Linked DNA regions of Macaca mulatta. The protein of the gene in region 1 interacts with the protein of each later gene in a pairwise test. Links are inferred from orthologs where the notes say so. Each region holds a gene or a part of one and is shown in the gene's direction. Other genes may lie near its edges.

The links.
Region 2: the proteins of TRIP6 (region 1) and OIP5 interact in binary tests that used the Homo sapiens proteins (3 or more experiments, as listed by UniProt). The two-hybrid records come from large-scale screens. The link is inferred for Macaca mulatta from reciprocal best matches to the Homo sapiens genes TRIP6 and OIP5.

Annotation. Positions count from the first base shown.
Region 1 is NC_133408.1:48,082,040-48,084,742, forward strand, and holds the end of TRIP6 (thyroid receptor-interacting protein 6), read left to right. Parts: intron 1-17; coding exon 18-196; exon of another isoform or gene 197-777; intron 778-1,103; coding exon 1,104-1,224; intron 1,225-1,596; exon of another isoform or gene 1,597-1,655; coding exon 1,656-1,787; coding exon of another isoform or gene 1,788-1,797; 3' UTR 1,798-1,938; downstream 1,939-2,703. UniProt on the Homo sapiens protein: Relays signals from the cell surface to the nucleus to weaken adherens junction and promote actin cytoskeleton reorganization and cell invasiveness. Involved in lysophosphatidic acid-induced cell adhesion and migration.
Region 2 is NC_133412.1:18,677,170-18,681,530, reverse strand, and holds the start of OIP5 (protein Mis18-beta), read left to right. Parts: upstream 1-1,330; 5' UTR 1,331-1,377; coding exon 1,378-1,699; exon of another isoform or gene 1,700-1,783; intron 1,784-1,957; coding exon 1,958-2,024; intron 2,025-4,361. Other genes in the region: NUSAP1 (nucleolar and spindle-associated protein 1), read right to left, coding at 889-981. UniProt on the Homo sapiens protein: Required for recruitment of CENPA to centromeres and normal chromosome segregation during mitosis.

The DNA of each region.
Region 1 (2,703 bases):
GCCTTCCTTCCCAACAGGCCACCCTGGAGAAATGTGCCACGTGCTCCCAGCCCATCCTGGACCGGATCCTGCGGGCTATGGGGAAAGCCTACCACCCTGGCTGCTTCACCTGCGTGGTGTGTCACCGTGGCCTCGACGGCATCCCCTTCACGGTGGATGCTACGAGCCAGATCCACTGCATTGAGGACTTTCACAGGTCAGGCCCAGGCTCCACCTCGTCTCACAATGTCTGACCTTTCCTGTCTCTTTCATCTCTTCATGCCCCAGGACTGTCTCTCCCTGTTTCCCACCCCTGGCCCTCCTTCATTCTTTGTTATTGTTATTTTTTAGAGACAAGAGTTTCACTCTGTTGCCCAGGCTGGAGTGCAATGGCAAATGATCATAGCTCACTGCAGCCTCCAACTCCTGGGCTCAAGTGATCCTCCCACCTCAGCCTCCTGAGTATCTGGGACTACAGGTGCACACGCCACCATGCCTGGCTAGTTTTCTTCGTTTTTTGTTAGCTTTTTTTTTTTTTTTTTTTGAGATGGAGTCTCGCTCTGTCACCCAAGCTGGAGTGCAGTGGCAGGATCTCAGCTCACTGCAACCTCTGCCTCCTGGGTTCAAGTGATTCACCTGCCTCAGCCTCCTGAGTAGCTGGGATTACAGGCGTGTGCTACCACGCCTTGCTAATTTTTTTTTTTTTTGTATTTTTTGTAGAGACAGGGTTTCATCATGTTGGCCAAGCTGGTCTCAAACTCCTGAGCTCAAGCGATCCACCTGCCTCGGCCACCCAAAGTGCAGGGATTGCAGGCGTGAGCCACTGCACCCAGTCTTCTTCTGTTTTTTAATAAAGACATGGTCTTGCTGTGTTGCCTAGGCTGGTCTTGAACGCCTGGCATCAAGTAATCCTCCTGCCTTGGCCTCCCAAAGTGGGGGCATTACAGGCTAGAGCCACTGCACCTAGCCTCTCTCATTCTCTTTGACATCATCCCTTCCCCAAGACCTAAGGTCATACCTCTGGCCTCCCTGAATCCCTCCTATGCCCCACCTTCTCTGGGTTCCATTGTTGGTGCCCTGCAACCCCAAGGCTTGATGGCCTTCTTGGTTCTCTTCCCCCGCAGGAAGTTTGCCCCAAGATGCTCAGTGTGCGGTGGGGCCATAATGCCTGAGCCAGGTCAGGAGGAGACTGTGAGAATTGTTGCTCTGGATCGAAGTTTTCACATTGGCTGTTACAAGTGTGAGGTCAGGGGCCCCCAGCACGTGCAAGGGGCTGGCAGTGTCTGCGGTGCTGGGTAGAGCACGAGACGGGGAACACAGAGATCTGGGGCTGATGGAAATCTGTTGCTTCTTTCTTTCTTTCTTTTTTTTTTTTTGAGATGGAGTCTCGATCTGTGGCCCAGGCTGGAGTGCAGTGACACGATCTTGGCTCACTGCAACCTCCACCTCCCGGGTTCAGGCAAGTCTCCTGCCTCAGCCTCCTGAGTAGCTGGGATGACAGGTGCTGGCCACCACGCCTGGCTGATTTTTGTATTAGTAGAGACAGGGTTTCACCATATTGGCCAGGCTGGTCTCGAACTCCTGACCTTGTGATCCACCCGCCTCGGCTTCTCAAAGTGCTGGGATTACAGGTGTGAGCCACCGCACCCGGCCAATTGTTGCTTCTTTTTCAACAGGAGTGTGGGCTGCTGCTCTCCTCTGAGGGCGAGTGTCAGGGCTGCTACCCGCTGGATGGGCACATCTTATGCAAGGCCTGCAGCGCCTGGCGCATCCAGGAGCTCTCAGCCACCGTCACCACTGACTGCTGAGTCTTCCTAGAAGTACCTGCTGGGTTCTCAGTTCCAGTTCCCATCCTTCGATTGATCACCCTCCCTGACATCCACCTGTATGACTTCATCACCAAATGCTGTCTCCTCTTTCTCCAATCAAGAAATAATAATCCCTCGAGTTTACAAAACACTTCCAAGTCTGCTGTCTTATCTGATTCTCCCAGTAGCCCATTACAAGCCCAGTTGTTGTTACTACCTGCATTTTTTTTCTTTTTTTTTTGAGACGGAGTCTGGCTCTGTCACCTAGGCTGGAGTGCAGTGATGCCATCTTGGCTCACTGCAACCTCCGCCTCCCGGGTTCAAGTGATTCTCTTGCCTCAGCTTCTCGAATAGCGGGGTTTACAGGCGCCTGCCACCATGCCTGGCTAATTATTTGTTTATTTTTTTGAGATGGAGTCTTGCTCTGTCACCCAGGCTGGAGTACAGTGGTACAATCTCGGCTCACTGGAAGCTCCGCCTCCCAGGTTCACACCATTCTCCTGCCTCAGCCTCCCGGGTAGCTGGGACTATAGGCACCCACCACCATGCCCAGCTAATTTTTTGTATTTTTAGTAGAGACAGGATTTCACTGTGTTAGCTAGGATGGTCTTGACCATCGTGATCCACCCACCTCGGCCTCCCAAAGTGCTGGGATTACAGGTGTGAGCCACCGCGCCCAGCCAATTTTTGTATTTTTGGTAGAGATGGAGTTTCACCACGTTGGTCAGGCTGGTCTCAAACTCCTGACCTCAAGTGATCTGCCCGCTTCGGCCTCCCAAAGTGTCGGGATTACAGGCGTGAGCCACCGCGCCCAGCCACTGTCTGCATTTTTACATGTGAGGATGCCAGAGGAGAGTGACTCCCCCAGATTGCATGGTTCTTAAATGGTGGAACCTGGGTCTTTTTGGCTCAGGTC
Region 2 (4,361 bases), on another chromosome or scaffold:
GTTGGAGTGCAGTGGGTGCGATCTTGGCTCACTGCCACCTTGGCTTCCCAGGTTCAGGCGATTCTCCTGCCTCAGCCTCCCGAGTAGCTGGGATCACAGGCGAGTAGCTGGGATCACAGGCGTGTGCCACCACGCCCGGCTAATTTTTTAATGGCCAGGCTGGTCTCGAAATCCTGACCTCAGGTGATCCAACTACCTTGGCCTCCCAAAGTGTTGGGATTACAGGCATGAGTCACCGCGCCCGGCCAATTCCCCTAACATCTTGTAGCCTCGGAGTCAAAGACCTTACTGGTTTTGATAGATACCATCACCACAACAGTCATCAATAAGCACATGAGTATACTAGATCAGGGCTGAGTTATAAAAATTTACCCAAGGAGGTGGTCCCCTAAAAGTAGATTTTTTCTTTCCCCCTGACAGGTCCATCAATAAAGTATCAAGAGATTATCGGCAATATTACAAATCACTGAAGTCTGTGTGGGGTTTTCTAGAAGCTGAGCCAATTATTTACTTAATTGTCTAACGATTAACGACACCCCTTCTGCTTTCTGGGCCTGCGTTTCGTAATCGATGACCTGAGAGGTATAAAGTAATTTCAAAAAAAAAAAAAAAACCACAAAAAACGAAAAACAACAAACCACCCCTCGGAACAGAGGCTTATCATGTGAGCACCCAGACAAGCCAGCTTCAAAATGAGGTGAAAACTACAGTTCCTCTTCCGTTTATCAGAGTTCTAACTGGGACCACCGTGAACCACATCTACTGCCCGAGGGGCAGGGACGGCTGCTTCAGTCCCCGGGCTTCCCGCTCGGTCCCTTCGCACCGCATCTCCCTGAGGCCGCTACTCCCGCCGCGCCCGCCCAGGGAACTGCCCCGCCAGCGTCGTACCCGCAGGTTGGCTCGGAGACCCAGACTCTTGGCTAAGTTCTGCAGGTCACTGTACTTGAGGGAGTCCAGCTCCTCTAGGGAGGGGATGATCATCGCGATTCAAAATCCCGGTGATACTCAGAAGATGGATCACCAAGTCTCGTAAGCGAGGTTCAAATCCCTGGCGCCACTCTTAACTTTGACTAAGCTGAAATTTATAGACAGTTTAAATGAAGAATGCCGCGCTTCCATTGGTTGAAAATGCCTCAAAGGCGGGGTTTCTAACCCTGACCAATAGAAAGGCTGATTTCCCGTCCCAACAGTCGCGCGCTTTTCTCACACTTCACGAATACGCAGGCGCCGAAGGGCCTGTAAGGCCGGTTCAGGTAACGAGTGCGCGGACTGGGACTCCAGTGCTTGGATTGCCCACGATGTCCAATGAGGACGCAGGAGCTGTGCTTGGGGCGGGGCCTGGCGTGTATTCGAAACGACGGCGCCGGCTGAGAGAAGATGGCGTTTCAGCCGCGGCGGCATCGCTCCCCTTGTGCAACGCCGCCCCAGGGTGACTTTTGTGATGGCACTGAGAGGGCGATTGACGAAGCATCTTTTACGACCTCCATGGAGTGGGATACACAGGTGGTGAAGGGGTCCTCGCCGCTCGGCCCCGCAGGGCTGGGGGCTGAGGAGCCGGCCGCCGTCTCGCAGCTGCCGTCTTGGCTGCAGCCTGAGAGGTGCGCTGTTTTCCAGTGCGCACAATGCCACGCCGTGCTCGCCGACTCGGTGCACCTCGCCTGGGACCTGTCGCGGTCCCTTGGGGCCGTGGTCTTCTCCAGTGAGTGCAGTGAGGCGTTCGGGAAAGGCAGAGGCTAGCCCGAGAGGTTGTTCCCGCCTTCTCCACCGGGTGGCAGAGAACCACCTGGGGAAGAAAACGGAATGAAAATTTGGAAGCACATAACTCCTTGGCCTGGGGATGGGGCAGGGAACTGGGGAGTCTCCTGACATTTATGGCGGGGATGAGTCTGTCTAGAGGAGAGATTTTCCATTTCAAGGCCCGCAGAGTATGAGTTCTGACCCGTGTTTGTGTTCCTAGGAGTTACAAATAACGTCGTTTTGGAAGCGCCCTTCCTAGTTGGCATTGAAGGTTCACTCAAAGGCAGGTACGTATTGATAATTACAGATTGGTCTCTAGTCCCTGACTTTATGAGACTGAGGAGCGTGGAACTGACATGTACTTGTTGAGCAAGTCTGTTGACAGCATTTCCTTTTTTTTTGTTGGTTTGATTTTTTTCTTTTTGAGATGGAGCCTCACTCTGTTGCCCAGGCTGGAGTGCGGTGGCGCGATCTCGGCTCACTGCAAGCTCTGCCTCCCAGGTTCACACCATTCTGCCTCAGCCTCCCGAGTAGCTGGGAAGGCATGTGAAGTCATGCCAAATTGTGAATATGAAGAAAAAAATGGGGCCGGGCGCGGTGGCTCACGCTTGTAATCCCAGCACTTTGGGAGGCTGAGGTGGGTGGATCACATGAGGTCAGGAGTTCAAGACCAACCTGACCAACATGGTGAACCCCCGTCTCTACTAAAAATACAAAATTAGCCGGGCATGGTGGCACACACCTGTAATTCCAGCTCTTTGGGAGGCTGAGGCAGGAGAATCACTTGAACCCGGGAGGCAGAGGTTGCAGTGCACTGAGAACACACCATTGCACTCCAGCTTGGGCAGCAAGAGCAAAACTCCATCAAACAAACAAATACATGGAAATTAAAAGTGCTACTCCAGTTATAAGCTGATATGGAGGAAGTTTGAGTGGTATGAGTAGAAGATCAAACCAGCCACAGCATTCCTTTAAACCAAAGCCTAATCCAGAACAAGGCCCTAACTCTCTTCAATTCTGTGAAGGCTGAGAGGTGAGGAAGCTGCAGAAGTTTGAAAGTAGCAAATGTTGGCTAGGTGCAATGGCTCATGCCTGTAGCCCCAGCACTTTGGGAGGCCGAGGTGGGTGGATTGCTTGAACCCAGGAGTTTGAGACCAGCCTGGGCAACATGGTGAAATGCTGTCTCTACAAAATACAAAACAATTTAGCCGGATGTGGTGGTGCACACCTATAGTCCCAGCTGCTTGGGAGGCTGAGAAGGAAGGCTGGCTTGAGCCATAGAGGTCGAGGCTACAGTGGAGCTGTGATTGTGCCACCACACTCCAGCCGGGGTGACAGAGCAAGACTATCTAAAAAAAAAAACAGAGGTTGGTTCTTGAGATTTAAGGAAAGAAACCTTCTCTATAACAAAAGTCCAAAGTGAAACAGCAAGTACTGATGCAGAAGCTGCAGAAAATGAAAGTGGGTACACTAAACAACAGATTTTCAGTGCAGATGAAACAGCCTTCTATTGGAAGAAGATGCCATCTCAGACTTTCATAGGTAGAAAGGACAAGTATTACCTGGCTTGAAAGGAGCTGGTCACAGTGACTCACACGTGTAATCCCAGCACTTTGGGAGACCAAGGTGGGAGGATTGCTTGAGCATAGGAGTTCAAGACCAGCCTGGGCAACATAGCAAGAACCGATCTCTACAAAACATTTAAAAATTAGATGGGCATTATAGTGTGCACCTGTGGTCCAGCTAATTGGAAGGCTGAGGTGGGAGGATCACTTGAGTCTGGGATGTCAAGGCTGTAGTGAGCTGTGATGGTACCACTGTACTCCATCCAAAAAAAAGAAAAAAAAAAGCTTCAAAGGACAGGCTTTCTCTCTTGTTAGGGGCCAATGCAGCTGATGACTTTAAGTTGAAGTCAATGCTCATTTACTGTTACTATCTATAGCTACTATAGATAGTTATTCCTCTGATGGATATGGGCAAAGTAAATTGAAAACCTTCTGGAAACCCAGCTAAATTTTGTATTTTTAGTAGAGACGGAGTTTCACCATGTTGACCAGGCTGTTCTCAAACTCCTGGTCTCAGGTGATCTGCTCGCCTCCCAAAATGCTCAGATTATAAGCGTGAGCCATTGCGCCCGGCCCAGTAAATTAATTTCCACTGACACATTTGTTTATAAGTACTGTGCTTTGTCTGAACTAATTAATTCCTACGTGGAATTTCAAATTAATGACACTTTATTTCACAGTTTGCTTTTTGGTTACCTATATTCACAAGATTACTATATGTGTGGTGTGGGACTTCATTTACCAATAAACCTAATATATTTTGTTATTTGTTCTTTTTTAGTATCCATTGACATGAATATTTCTTTTTAGCTATGTGTTTTTTGTTTTTTTTTTTTCTTTTTTAAGACGGAGTTTTGCTCTTGTCGCCCAGGCTGGAGTGCAATGGCACAATCTCCGCTCACTGCAACCTCCGCCTCCCCGGTTCAAGCGATTCTCCTGCCTCACCCTCCTGAGTAGCTGGGATTACAGGCACCCACCACCATGCCTGGCTAATTTTTGTATTTTTAGTAGAGACAGGGTTTCACCATGTTGGCCAGGCTGGTCTTGAACTCCTGACCT